Linked DNA regions of Oreochromis niloticus. The protein of the gene in region 1 purifies or fractionates together with the protein of each later gene. This does not show direct contact. Links are inferred from orthologs where the notes say so. Each region holds a gene or a part of one and is shown on either strand. Other genes may lie near its edges. The genes, in order: ddx24 and nifk.

Region 1 (7,730 bases):
CTTATTGCAGACATACATCCTATTGCTCTTTATGGTGTTCTTTAGTTAACTGAGCAAACTTGAAAGATTAAAGAGAGGCACACACGGCTATATTCTCGTGCATGTGCCTTTCTGTTAATGCGACTGCGTGCTGAAAGCTACACATAAATCATACTAAAGCTGACCTATTAAGTTTGCCATTGCAGCTCATACAGAAACGTGACCAGGGTGCTCAATCAGACATGGAGTCTGAATTAGATGTCATCAGATTAATTGAAAAGAAGAGGTGTTCTAAAAAGGGGGCCAATGACAGTGAGTCCTGCTTTTATAGTAGACTTGTGTGTGTAGAACAAAATGTGATAATGTGGAAAAAAGAAACGTGCACATTACCAGAATAAAAGATCCTTCTTAAAACTTTTACTAGCATTAACATCTGTGGGTTATTTATTCTTTACATCATCAACCTCAATACATGACAGTCTACAGGTGGTCTCCCCAGGCATTTAGAGAGCTGCATATTTTGGATGTCGTGGCTTTATTACTTATAAGTATGCATGTAGGCATAATGAAACGTATGATTAGGCAAGGCTTACAGACACAATTTAAGGGTGTCTTGTCCTTTTTGATCAGATTGATGAAAAAAAATTGTGTAGGACTTTTTGCTGAATTTAAATTGCTTATCACTGATGCATTGTTTTTTCTTATTTTTGTCCAGAATAAGTGGGGAACAAAGAAGCATCATGTAAACATGAGTAGTTCCAGCAGTGTATGATCACACAAGCCAAAATTCTGGCATTTCCAGACTTGTTTTGGTTTCTTTTCTTTTTTTTTTTTTTGGTCTTTGGGGGGTTGGGGGGTTGGGGGGGGGGCACACGTTAGAAAATCAAAGATTCATTGGTTTCATTTATTTGCTGATTATGACCTTGAAAATGGAAAAAAAAAAACAAATGTGTCACATCACCTACCCTTTGACGAAGTGGTTGATTTGACTTATTCTCACTTATTTTTCTCTACAGGACCGTAATGTCCTGAAAGTGAGAATCTGTCCTCGTGACTACACCAAACTACAGCATTAAAACACTTTACATTCATTCAGAACATTGAACTGACCATTCAGCGCAAATGTGTCTTGATGCCTTCACTAACATGTTGGATGTCATGCAAAGTTTGGCTTATTGTGCTGGATGATTTTTAAGAAGATTCCAAGATTTTGTTGCTGTTCTGTTTCCTTTGGATCTGCTATTTTTTTTTTCTATTTAAAATGCACTTGTGAAAAATTAGAAAATGTTGGTAGTTGGGGGGTTTTTTATTATTATTTTATTCACTGTGTTCTTAAATTCATTATTTTTGTTATACTTCATGTTAGAACAGCACATTCTTTTGTTTAATATATTGGTTCTCGTTCCAGGATTAAAGTGAAATTCACTCCCAATGCTTCTCGTGTCTCATTTACTTATCGATTGATTCTTATGGATTCACCTCTGAATACGTTTTTTGTGGTTAATGTGTAACATGTAGAGCACACTTGCACTTTGTTCCCCCCAAAAAATACAGAGAAATTTCAGGCACAATCTGGGCCAAGCTGAAAGGTACGTGGTGTTATTTTGTTAAACTTAAATACAAAATTTCAGAGCGTTTTCTAAGTATAATGCAGAAATAAGTATTCAGTTGGTGTAATCTTATATTTTTTGTAGATTTAGTGATTGTGCTGCTGTACAGTGGTGCTTTTTGTTTTTAATTTCTCGTTTCTGGGTGTGCACGCAAAACTTTCTAGGTTCTAATTTTGATGTTAAACAAAATGAAGATGGCCTGTTTTTTCTTTGTGGCCCTCCTGTGCTTTCTGACTCCTATCCACCAAGCTGGACCTAACAGTGCCACCATCTCAGATCTCTCCTTCAAAAATATGGACTTTGCCATGAACCTTTACAGAAAGATATCCAGTTACCATGACAAGAACATCTTTTTTTCCCCCCTGAGTATCTCTACCAGTTTTGCGGCTCTTCTAATGGCTTCTGATGGTGTCACACACAAGGAGATCCTGAAGGTACTAAACCTGGAGGCGCTGGAGAGGGCTGACCAGCCGGATCTTATCCCTAAACTGTTTCAACTCCTTCACGAGAACGTCACGCAAAATGGATCGCTGAAATTTGATCATAGCATGGCCTTGTTTATCCAACCCCAATTTATCATAGAGAGGGAGTTTGAAACCAAAATCAATAAGTTTTTTAATGCAGATATCAAAACTGTTGACTTTGCGGACACAACAGAGAGTATCAGAGTAATTAATGAGTACATTAGGGACAAGACTGAAGGCAAGATTACAGAGATGATTTCAGCCTTGGACGAACAGACCAAACTCCTGTTAATGAATGCAATTTTCTTTCAAGGTAAATTAAATCTTTTTTGCACACTTTAGATATTGGGTTTATGGGTTTATGTGCTATTAATTATACTAATATTCATGTCTGCACCTATGAACTGTTTTGTTTATAACTAAACGTACAATATTACCTCCTCCACAGGAGCCTGGAAGATGCCTTTCAACTCCAATTTCACTCGAAATGGACCCTTCTACATCGATAATTATAATATTGTGCAGGTGCCTATGATGTTTAAAGAAGACAAGTACTACACTGCAGAAGATGTTTCTCTGAGAGCCAAAGTGCTGAAACTGCCATACCAAGAGGGTGTTTCCATGCTTATCCTGCTCCCCAACCCAGACATGGACTACACTATGGTGGATGATGAGATTACTGCAGAGAGGTTTCAGAGCTGGATCGCAAAACTGAGAAAAATGTATGTGAGGAAAAATGCCTCGCTTTAACCAAGAGTCTGCATATTTTGTTGTTTAGCTGTAAAAAGCAACGGTTAACAAAAGTGTAAATGACCATAAAACAATGCCTGCAGCAGCAGATGAGCCAGTCTATTCAACATGTCAACTCATGTCTTGTTTGCAGGAAACTGGAAGTCAAGATGCCCAAATTCAACATGGAGCAGTCGTATTCCCTCCATAATCTTCTACCGCATATGGGCATGACCAGTGTCTTTAGTAATTTGTCCAATTTGACAAAGCTCAGTGAGGACAAAGGGCTCAAGCTGTCAGAGGTTAGTTGTCACTTTCACTGTCATGTAGCAACATATGTGCCTGTTCGCCAAATAGTGCAGCAAAACACTTTTAACCTTGCTGTGAAATTGTAGGTGCTTCACAAGGCCATGATTGACGTGGATGAGACAGGAACAACTGCAGCAGCTGCCACAACAATGGGTATCATTCCATACTCCCTGCCGAGGACCTTCACTATAAACAGACCCTTCTTCTTCTTCATATACCATGAAAACACAAACTGCCTGCTGTTCATGGGGAGGGTGATTGACCCCACCAACAAATAGTTTTGCCACTGTAATGTGTTCATTCTTAAGTGGCTTCTACATGACTAATTTGGTGGATGTTTTAATCCCAGACAGTTTAAAGCTTTTTTTTTCTGTTCTGTTCCTACAACATACTTCACCAATAATAATAAAAACTTCACCTGCATCACAAACTTGGATCTTTTAAATGTACGTACATCTCCAAATTATGACAACCAGCATAAATGTAATCACTTAATCGACAAATTAAACAAAACATCAGTACCACGTTCTAATAATGCACATCTTATCAGGTTATTAAACTGATGCTACCGGCTGACTATAATAATTGTAAAGAAACAGTTTTCTTTTGCCTTAAAGATTTTGCTTACAGTAATTTTAAAAAGAGGAACTCTAGTCAAATTTATTTAATTTACCTGATCACACACACACACACACACACCACCTACTCTACAAGTCTCAGTTTGCATGTTAAACAATGTTCATGACAGTACAATCAAACAGCATGGCTAAAGTTTTCAAAGTTGCATCTAAGAAAACCAGACAGATGAGACCAAAGTGCACAATGCACAACGCCATGTTTTGTGAAAACCAAACACAACATATCATACCAAAGGACTTTTGGCATTTTGTGGTCATTGAGTCATAGGTGAACTCTTTGTATACAAGTGAGTCAAATGATCAAATTTCATTGTGTAATGAAACAGAACATCGCAGGTTTGGGCAAAGCTACAACAGACTGGCTGAAGAAGGAAAGAATCAAGATGTTGACTCAGTGATCCAGTCAAAGTCCAGACCTCAACCCGACTGAAATGCTGTGGCAGGACGTTAAGAGAGCTGTGCATAAATGAATGCCTGCAACCTTCAAGAACTGAAGCAAGAGTGGGCTAAAATTCTTAAACAATGATGTGGGAGACTCCCAGAGAGTCACACAACAAGCGATTACTTCAGTTATACGCCGTTAAAGGTGGTTCCGCAAGCTCCTGAAACATAAGGGTGTAGTTGTTTTATTTTATTTTATTTTATTTTACAGGACGGCAGAGAGCCCAATGAAAACTTTGTTTTCCACAAATGCGTTTATTTATTTATGTACTAGATTATATGCTAGTTTGTCAGGTACAACCTTCATTAAAAAATAATTTTAATTATATTTGCTACTAATAATAAATACTACTGTAGTGAAGCAACTCCCTCGGCACAAACTTCAATACACCTTAAGAAATTACAGCGTATTATCCTTAAAATGAAAGCTGATAAACTAAAACCCTTGACATCCTCGGGTATTATTTAAACGTTTATTAAATTTTTATAAACGTTTATGTAGGCGGTATAAGGGGTTAAAATGACCAGAGAAATTGAAACAGCGCCTGTTGTTTAAATAAAGTTTTTCAAACCACGTGATCAACACTGTCATGGCTGCGCCCTCGTGTCTCGCGTTGATGTAATCGTAGCAGAAGTCTAAGAGAGCCTACACTCAGTCCAGGTAAGACTTTAGTACTCATTAATTCAACTAGTAGTTTACTGTAGACTTTGTACGCTTAGTTTCTGTTAATTATCGGTTAATAGTTGTCCGCTGGCGTTAAGAAACGTGGGGTGCACGTGTGCTTTTAACAACTAAACGTTAGGAACTTCACGAGGTCGGCTAAAGTCACTTATTTTACACCTTTACTTTTTTTCAGAAAAATGAAGACAAAGAAGATGAAGGCGAAAAACAAAGGCATGTCCACCGGGCTGGGGAAGCCAGCGAAACGTTGCATCGACATGAAAGGCAAATGGAAAACCATAGACCTCGATCCCAGCGTCTTCTCCGAGGAGGGCTTGGAGGGTCTGGTGTGTTTCGAAGAGCTCACGGATTACCGTTTAATAAACAGTGAGCAGGCTGCGGCCAAAGCAGCAAAAGAGCTGAAAAGGGAGAAGAAGAAGAAAGCACAGAAAAGAAAAGCTGGTGACGGCGAGGAGGCTGGAGAGAAAGGAGACTCGGGGATCAAAGAGGGGGAGAGCACAAGTGAGCCAGCGAAGAAAAAAGCCAAGAAGAAGAGGAAAAACAAGAAAGGCATTGCAAAGGAGTCGGAAAATATTTCTGCAGAAGACGTAAAGCAGAAGGATAATGCTGCCACTGAGCAGGGAGGAGAGGATGAGGTATCAGGTGAGGGCGATGAAAATGATTCTGCAGCCATCACTGCTGATCCCAAAGATACAAAGAGGAGCAGGAAGAAGAAGAAAAAGGGGAAAGGGCAGCAGACAGTGAAGGATACAGTCCCAGAAGAACAGCCAAACCCAGAGTCTTCATCAGATCTGGAAAAAGAAAAATCCGGTCAAAATAAAGTGACAAAGGCCCCACACAAGAAGGCAAAGAATTGGACAAACGCTGCACTTTCTGGTTCTGAAGACAAAAATGTTGACATGAGTGCATGGAAGGACCTGTTTGTCCCCCCACCTGTCCTGAGGGCACTGAGCAGTCTTGGATTTGGTTCACCGACACCGATCCAAGCCCTGTGTTTGCCTCCAGCTATCAGGGATCGTATGGATATACTGGGAGCAGCTGAAACTGGTAAGATAAAAGTGATAGGTTTATAGTGTAATGTTCTGTTCACAGATTTTTAAAAGTGAAGCTAATACGGATGTTGTACTTACAGGAAGTGGCAAGACACTGGCTTTCGGCATTCCCATAATCCATACCATCCTGGAGTGGAAGCATAGCCCAGAAAAACCTAATGATGACGCTGAACCAGTCACAAAGGTGGAGAGTTTGTACTTACCATCTGTAGATGAGTACACAAAATCAGCTGAAGAGGACCAAGAGGAGGGAGTGGAGGCTTCTAAAGAAAACGATGAAGATGCTGAGGATCAGAATCAAGGAGACTCGGATGAAGATGAACACAGCGATGTAGAAGATGAACAGCTTGGATGTGTTCGGGTAATCAAGAATGCAGACTTTGATTTTGATGAAAAACCCGCTGGTGCTCAGAGTCGACCCCTCTTAGGACTGGTCCTCACTCCCACCAGGGAGCTGGCTGTTCAGGTCAAACATCATATTGATGCTGTCGCAAAATTCACAGGTAAGTCATAGCTCATCAGAGTATTACGATAGCAGTTTTCTTCTAAGAGATCTATAAATGTCAGCATAGCTAATGTTTTCCTGCTGTGCAGATATAAAAACAGCCTTAGTGGTGGGTGGAATGGCACAGCAGAAACAAAGACGAGTGCTGAAACGCAGGCCAGAGATCATCATAGCAACTCCGGGGCGTTTGTGGGATTTGATCAAGGAGAGGCACCCACATCTGGTCAACCTCAGGCAGCTCAGGTGAGTCTTAATTTAAGACTGACTTATTTGCTAGAGGTGGTAATCGATACAATATTATCACAGCGCTTCACTTATGATATGATATTATCATGATTTTTATTATTTTGTGATATGCTGAGTATTCCAATAAAATATGTCACCTTTTTTAAACTGCAAGTTATTTCCTAAAGTTAAATATATGTTTTATTTTACTTTATTTTACTAACATTTAACTTGCGCTCATCAACCTTCCTGTTTTATAAGAATATACCCAAAATAGAACCAGCTGGCAGCCAGTTGATGAACTGTGCACATTGAGAAAGACTCATTCAGACTCATGGAAACATGTTGGCTATCTGTCTGGTTTCATATATTAGATAACAATTATTTGCAGAGTGATTGCAGTCAGTCCAAATCAGACTACACCTGTTAGTAGGAAGGGTGCCTCCTATCAAGTGAATCGAGCCCTCTTTTCAAAGTTTTCCCAGAGTATTTTAATGTATTTAATAAAATATTAATATTTGGTGTTCCTGTATCAATACAATATCGCCACACAAAATATCACAATACCACAATAAGGTTTTTTTTTTTCCTTCACCCGATTACTGACACTGATTTTAACCCTCAAATCATATCATGTGTGAAAGAGCCTTGAGCAATAGATCAGTGATTCGGTGTTCTGTGATAAAGTCTTTCAGGCAGGCCTATTTGTTAGATTTTTGTTATCCTTTCTTAATTCCTCTTCTTCTTATGACACAGGTGCCTGGTCATTGATGAAGCCGATCGCATGGTAGAAAGAGGGCATTTTGCCGAGCTGGAGAATTTGCTGGAAATGCTAAATACGACACACTTCAATCCCACTAGGCAAACTTTTGTGTTCTCTGCCACTTTGACGATGGTTCACAGCCTTCCCACTCGCCTCCTTCAAAAGAAGAAGAAGAATCTGGACCAGAGGAACAAGCTGGAAATTCTTATGGAGAAAGTGGGGATTAAGTCCAAGCCCAAAGTCGTTGACCTCACCAGGAAGGAGGCAACTGTGGAGACACTGATTGAGACTCAGATCCACTGTCAGAAAGATGAGAAGGACTTCTACCTCTAT
Region 2 (7,541 bases), on another chromosome or scaffold:
TAGAAAGACCAGCTTGAGGTTTATTTTAAAGAATCACCTGAGGAAGTCCAGGAATTGTGATTCAAATGAACAGATATATATAACCACATCCACATTACTAACCAACTTTGATATGAATCATTTAATTTAGAGTTAGATTTTTTGTCTAATCTGAGCTATTTTGAAAGTTTTCTTGCATTTTGTTTTCTTTAGGTTATTGATTTCTTTATTTCTTTATTGATTTCTTTGTTTTCTTTAGGTTATTGATACAATTTCTGTGCGTTTCACTTCATATTTGTAAAGTTCTCAGTATCCAAGGTGTGATCCAAGTTTTCCAGTTGATAATCAACATCCTTTTCCTCTGGGCCATCTTCAGCACATTCAAAGCCTTTGATACTTTTAATTGTAACTTGGCAAAAACTCATTTCTATGAAAGAAGTCCTAAAGAAAGACTTTGTGTTTTATTTGATCTTTTGTTTTTAGGGGATTTGAATGCATTTTTACTACATTTTTATGTATTCTTTGTACAGATTTTGATGTCATGGTCACTGATCCAAGAGAAACAACCCGCAACCGATGTAAAGGTAAACATTTTTGACAGTGCCTCGAATCTGAGCTTCCCACTGCAGAACTGTTTAGAAAAATCAAGCACAAATTAAGTGGAACGAGTGTTTACAACTATGCAGGTACAATGTTCAGATAATTCAATATAGGAAAGTAAACTTCAACGACTAGTACAATAGAAGTTAAATGCAGTCATCTAAATTAAGTAAGAACACTGCTTGCAGTTACAGCATTGTTCTAATGAGTAAGATCTGCAGTATGTAATGTGCGTGGAGACCATGATGCCAAAGGCTGAAGCTGCTGTGAGAGGTGAGGAGCTGTCAGTGGCAGCTGTATTTGCAGCAAAGACTGCTTTGTCTTATGTTGCTCCATTTATCAAATTTGCTTTATTGATTTTAGTCACAGAAGAGTATTTCCTGAACTCTAAGCATAAGAATATTCCACTTTAATTCATTTGTCCAAAACAACACGTTAGAATGCATTTGATCATATGAAACATAAACTTCAGCTTTGGCTCCTACCTTTGACGTCCTGAGTCGGACAGTCGACCGGGAACTCCGCCTGCTCCGGTCTCCCGTTCACCGTGAAGTAGATGACTTTTGTTTCCATGTCATGAATCTAAACCCACTGATGCTGCTGTGTGCACTGCTGAACTGGCTCTGATGTCTATCTCCTCTCCACTCCACCCCCTCTCCACCTCCTCCTAAGCTCCTCCTCCTTCCCTGCCTTTGACTCCAACATTTCTCCGAGCAACAGCCAACTGTATTCACCTGAAATTTAGATTTTTATAACAATTACAAAGGTTATGATGGTGTTTTTTAAGTGATTACAGTAGTGGTTCTCAAATTGTGGGTGACAAATTAAGGGCACAGAGGTGAACATGGTGTACAAGAAAGAGAGAATGGTCTTTATAGAGCCAAACTGAGAATGAGATAACCAATGAGAGTGTTTTTGGCTGTGATTTAAGTGCTGTAGCGAACCTGCTGTTTAGTGCACGTTGTTGCTTTTTAACTCAAAGGGTCAAAGTTGAACTCGACCTCAGAGTGAGTTACGGTTTCTCTGGAGACAATACTTTTAAATCTGACTGAAGTAATATAAAGCTTACATGTGATCAGATATCAGCTTTTTGCGGCTCATTTGTTAGGGCACATGTTCAGCCTTTACAGGGTTCCCCTATGCTGTGATGCTGTGTACATACAGTAGTAGTCACATGCTATGAAACAGTATTAAGATCATGTTAAGAATTTTATAGAAGGTATAGGAGCCATGGCAGTCCTTTGGTTTGAAACAACAACCACAATCTCCACATTTAGACTTTTTTTTTCTCAAAATACTAATTAAATTTAATGTCGAAATTTCAACTTTAATCCTAAAATGGCCATTTTTTTTTCTAAATGTGAAAACTTTTATATGTGTTTATTTTTGTTTGTTGTTTAAAATTTGACTTTTATATATTTTTAGTTCAGAGTTTTGTATTTTTGCTTTTATTCTCCACAGTTTTAAGTTTTCTTTCATTTTCATTTCAATATATTTCATTTTTATGTATTTATTTATTTATTGCATTTGTTTTCAAATTTATTCAAATTTTCAGTTTTTGCACAAATGTGTTTTTCTTTCCTTGAAATATTTATCTTTTTTGTAATTTAAGACTTTGCACCAAAATGTATGAAACCTTATAAAATAAAATATGATGCTTACACAATTACTTTTTTCAGTTTTACACATTTTTATTATTTCCATTCTTAGGATTGGTGTTTGAAGCAGGAATTTTTATCATAATTAAAATTGTTATGAGATGTTTCTTATGAATAGAAATGTAGTGGTTCTCAAACTTTAGAGGTAAAGATGCATACAGCCAGGTGAGACATAAGAAGTGATAATCATATAAGAAAATGTGATGTTGATTTCCCCCCAAATATAGCTTATACTACTACTACTAATAATTATCATCATCATTAGTAGTAGTAGTAGTATCAGCTATAATAATAATAATGATAATAATAATAATAATGATAATAATAATAATTATTATTATTATTATGAGAAAATTTTGATGATAATTATCATCATCATTAGTAGTAGTATCAGCTATATTTGGGGGAAATCAACATGTATTTGTAAGCGCTTTACACTACATTCAGTCATTCACACACAGGTGATGGCAAGCTACATTGTAGCCACAGCTGCCCTGGGGCGCACTGACAGAGGCGAGGCTGCCAGACACTGGCGCCACCGGGCACCACCACCAGTAGGCAACGGGTGAAGTGTCTTGCACAAGGACACAACGACCGAGACTGTCGGAGCCGGGGCTCGAACTGGCAACCTTCCGATTACAAGACGAACTGCCAACTCTTGAGCCACGATCGCCCCTGTAAGAAGAAGAAGAAGAAGAAGAAGAAGAAGAAGAATACACTAAAAAAAAAAAGATTTAGCTGAAAATTCTGACTTTAATCCAATTACTTGCAAAGTTTTCCATTTTTTTTGTTAAATAAATACAAAGTAAAATGTTGAATTTAAATGAATATGGTCAAATTAAATGTAGTTGATTGGTATACAAATATACCAGGAAAATTTTCCCTCTTTCCCTTCGTTGCCTCAAGGCAACACTGTGCAGTTAGCCTATTTTTTTTCAGGCAATATAATGCATTTGAATATGTGTGTAGAGATGTGTTTGTGTGCATTTATATGATCATAGTCAATGTTTTTTACTTTACAATCTTCTTATAATTACAAGACATGGATGTAAAAACCATTTATGGAAGGAAACCAAGGGAATGAGCACTTTCTGTCCTCAGAAAGTGAGGACAGTGAGCTTTCAGGGAGTGACAGTGAAGTAGAGGAGTGGATCCCTGAATCAGGTTTGAGAGACACTTAGGAGCTCAGGGGTCAGTTGGTAAAGTAACTGTGTCTGTGTGTGTGTTAGTGTGTGTGTGTGTGTGGTCGTGTATTACTTATTGTTGTGTGGACACAAATTTGTTTACACACTCACATTGTGAGGTCTTGCCTACTTTATGGGGACAAATAGCAAGGTAAATCATTCAATTTTAGGGTGAAGGCTTGAGTCAGGGTTAGGGTAAGGTTCAGGCAGGGACTTGTGATGGGTAGGGTCAGGATAAGTCTCCAGGAAATGAATGTAAGTTAATGTAATGTCCCCAAAAGTGATGGAAATACAACATGTGTGTGTGTGTGTGCATGGGGTTAGGGTCAAATGTTGGATGTATTTTGGTGTTTTATTGTTCTGTGAAATGTTTACATTGTTTTTTTGTTGTTTATTTATTTGTTCATCCTTGTTGTACTAATAAAACTTATTATAGAATAACTTGGTGTTTGACTACCCTTGTCACACAGTGTTGCCTTGAACTTGAAGCAACAAACCAATATCTGTTTGGGGGGGGGGCAGGGTGTCAAATTTTATGATTGATATATTATTAGGGACCCTAAAGCTCCCCCAAAATAGGGAGAAATATTTTTTTCCCAAAAAATTAAAAAGTCATGCAGTAGAGGGTTAAATATTCTTAAAGAGGAACAATAATAATAAATAAACCTTTGTTTTTTTTAATTTCACTTTCCTTTAATTAAAACATTGCTTCATTTTTACTGAGTTTTTTTTCTCTTTCTTTTTTGAGCGTGAAAATAGTTAATGTAGACGAAACCGACTAACAAACTCACCTCCGCGCCTGTAGGTGTCGCTGCACAGAGCGCGGAGCTGCAGACGTGACGCGTTTCTCCGTCACTCGTTGGTGTTCAGCGCATGTGCAGCCGGATGTGGGTCATTATCAGCAGCAGCATCGTGGTTTTTGGACGGCTAAGTGAGTGTTTGTCTCAGTTTATGTGGCGTTTGTAGCTTCCAGCAGCGAAAAATGAGTGAAAGTGGCGCCGAAGCGGCTCCTGCTGCGGCCAAAGAGCTGCTGGCGCTGAATCCTGCACAGGAGTCCGAGTTCAGGAAGAAGGTTCAGGAGGTGAAGAAGAAGAAATCAGGCAAGGTGGGTGAAACATGTGGCCCTGAAGGAGACCCGATAGTCTGCAGTTATTTTCCTCCTGTTTACTGTCGCTGACTTTACTCTCAGACTGCTGATGTCTCTCTCTGTAGTCTGTGTTTAACTCAGGTTCAGGTGCCGTCAAACCTTTATAGGCTCGTGGTCGTTACTCTGTCAGTCGGCCCACGTGCAGCATATTTACTCAGGTTTACAGATGTAAGGCAGGCCCGTTTTTTTAAAAAAAAAAGAAGAAAAAATGACATCCTGTCTCAAATTATTAAGTTTACGGACTGAGAGAAAGATTAATTTTATTATAGTAAAGAAATGGAGAGAACTGGCCCCAAAGAAATGTGACCAAACTGAATGTAAACTGATATTTAAACAAGAAAATCTGTAAATGAGGTGAACATCTGTATGTTTAATATATATAAATTGTATTTATTTTGTACTTTTATTTTGTAGACTTTTTAAAAGCCGGTCTGGGAAAAATAAATCTTTATAGTATCGCATTTTGTTTTTCGTAATTTAGTCTGTGCATTATATCGTATTACAATCTGATCACAGGTGAAGGCCCAGTTCTCTGTGTAATGTCGTGATCTGTCTTTTCCCCATCACAGGCGAACCGCCTGACCCCAGGAGTGATTTACGTCAGCCACTTGCCCCGAAACCTGGTGGAGCCTCAGCTCAAATCTTACTTCGGTCAGTTTGGGAAGATCCTGCGGCTGCGGCTGTCCCGCAGTAAGAAGGTAACCCTGAACATGTGGAAACAAACGTGTGAATGTGTGAGGCGCAATCAGAATCTTCAACTGCATCTGTAAAACTTTCACAGCTCCTGCAGTGATGTATCACTTCCTTCAAACTTCACTTGGAGTCTTTTTTTTTTTTTTTTTTTTTTTTTTTTTTTTGGATAAAACTTTAGAGTCACTGAGAGGCTGATTTTAGACTGTGTGGTTTGAGGCCTCATAGCCAGAACAGAAACTTCCAGATAAAAATCTTGGGTATAACTCACCAGAAAAGGAGCCCACATGTTGCATCAAAGCAAAAAATGACCTTTGAACTATAACTTGGTAAAAAGTTGCATGGATTTGTCTCCTGAAAGCAGTAACAAAGTAATAAAACTGACTCCCAACAGCTCCGTGTTCAGCAGGAGCAGTTGAGGAACTTCTTGATCGCCATTCTTGAAACCAGCACACTCTCTGCAAACATTTAGATTCCTTTATTTTGGTTTAAGAAGTCCAGGCAGGAGCCTGTTTGAAGCTCCACTTCTTAAAATCTGGAGTTTTGGCTGAGACTGAAAATGATCTCAGATGTAAAAGTCGTCTGAGGTCAGATAACTGAGCCTAGAGTACTCTGGTACATTAAGCTTATCACCTGCTCTGCCTGTTATCAGAGTGATAAAACCCATGTGCCAACAAACACTGGAGGGAATGAAAACATCTGGAGGGCAGAATCTGTGACTGTCACTTTATTCCTCTCTCTGTTTGTTTGCAGACTGGTAACAGCAAAGGTTACGCTTTCATCGAGTTTGACTGCGATGAAGTGGCGAAGATTGTTGCAGAGACGATGAATAATTACCTGATGGGAGAGAGACTTATCAAATGTAAGTCAGAGTTCACCTTTTAGATCCTGATTCACAGGAAGTTTTCCTGTAAAGGTCGTAGTTCCTAGCTGATGTTTATTTAAATTTATAAAAAAAAATGTTTTCTCCCAGGTCAGGTGTTTCCTCCCGAGAAGGTGCACGAGAAGCTGTTTGTTGGCTCGGAGCGAGGGTTCAAAAAGCCGACGTATCCCGCAGTAACGCGTTACAACAAGAAGCACACGGAGGAGGAAATTGCAAAAATGACCGGCAAGCTGCTGCGCAAAGAGTCAAGGCTCCGAAAGAGGATCGCCGCATACGGCATCGAGTACGAATTCCCCGGATTCGTAAGTGTTTACACGCTGGAGCGGAAACTTTAAACGGGTTTAGGTTTTAAAAATTGGAAGTGTGCCGTGACATGGCAGCATATTTAAAGGCGTCTGATTTAATTAATGGATTTCTTGCAACTAAATTCCAAACAGCGTGCAGCTGTGATCTGTTCAGAAGCTTCAGTTTTTACAAAAAAGGATTTTCAGAGAATTACAGGCTGATAACAGCAATTTGGAATATTGCTGATTCCATATAAATTCAACTGAATCTGGAAAAACGTTCCCACCTGTCCCCCTGAAAATCATCTGGTTATTTACAGAAACTTTAGATTATTTAATGAAGCCATGCACACTTTTACCCTCATGCTTTCTTACGAGTCATTCCCTGCAGGAATCTCCCCACTTCAAATATAAATGCCACAAACTAAACTCATGGTTGTTTGTAGCTTTAGAAAAAAGGCTTTCAAAATATGAAATCCTGTGATGTGCTGCGATTTAAGCCTGCGGGCTGCTGGGACTTGCAGTAGAAACCCTGCACAATAAACAGTGAAAACTATGATCAGTGTCTTCATACTCTTTATTCTGTCTGAGCAACAGTCCAGAAAGTCAAAGCAGATTCTCTTTAACCTCAGGCCTCAGATACTGTGTGCAGTCCAGGACCGTTAGACTGTTAGATCGGTGTCAACTCGGCTTGGTTGACTCTGTGGATTCTTTTAAAAAACAGTTAAAAACTTTTCTGTTCAAACAAGCCTTTTGTTGATCTATGTATTTTATATATATATTTTTTTACATTATTTATATTTGATCTTTTACATTGTGTATAATGTCTATTGATTTTATTGTTTATTTTAATATTTGTGTACAGCGCTTTGACTGTCTGTGAAAAGCGCTTAATAAATAAAGTTTACTTACTTACTTACTTGGTCACAAAAACGGGAATATCTTTTTTTGTTTTGAGATTGTTCTTTTCGAGGTCTCACAAACTTCACTGCTCTCTGTGCTCTTCAGGCGGCTCAGGTTCCTAAGAAGAAGTCGTCATCCGATGCTGGCAACGTGTCTTCGTGCACTGACGTAAGTCTGGTTATTGTGTTTGGTTTTATGTCGGGCGCAGACTGA

The links.
Region 2: the proteins of ddx24 (region 1) and nifk purify together in Homo sapiens (affinity purification with mass spectrometry; 3 studies listed by BioGRID and IntAct, counting the BioPlex papers as one, with this or other methods). This does not show direct contact. The link is inferred for Oreochromis niloticus from reciprocal best matches to the Homo sapiens genes DDX24 and NIFK.

What each region holds. Positions count from the first base shown.
Region 1 is NC_031983.2:11,422,370-11,430,099, forward strand, and holds the start of ddx24 (ATP-dependent RNA helicase DDX24), read left to right. Parts: upstream 1-4,691; 5' UTR 4,692-4,831; intron 4,832-5,027; 5' UTR 5,028-5,031; coding exon 5,032-5,899; intron 5,900-5,984; coding exon 5,985-6,407; intron 6,408-6,498; coding exon 6,499-6,652; intron 6,653-7,390; coding exon 7,391-7,730. Other genes in the region: serpina10b (protein Z-dependent protease inhibitor), read left to right, coding at 1,766-2,366, 2,502-2,775, 2,937-3,084, 3,178-3,369. UniProt on the Homo sapiens protein: ATP-dependent RNA helicase that plays a role in various aspects of RNA metabolism including pre-mRNA splicing and is thereby involved in different biological processes such as cell cycle regulation or innate immunity.
Region 2 is NC_031987.2:8,321,471-8,329,011, forward strand, and holds the start of nifk (MKI67 FHA domain-interacting nucleolar phosphoprotein), read left to right. Parts: upstream 1-4,287; 5' UTR 4,288-4,403; coding exon 4,404-4,526; intron 4,527-5,137; coding exon 5,138-5,266; intron 5,267-5,806; exon of another isoform or gene 5,807-5,937; intron 5,938-6,011; coding exon 6,012-6,120; intron 6,121-6,231; coding exon 6,232-6,443; intron 6,444-7,433; coding exon 7,434-7,496; intron 7,497-7,532; exon of another isoform or gene 7,533-7,541. Other genes in the region: high affinity cGMP-specific 3',5'-cyclic phosphodiesterase 9A, read right to left, coding at 1,065-1,152.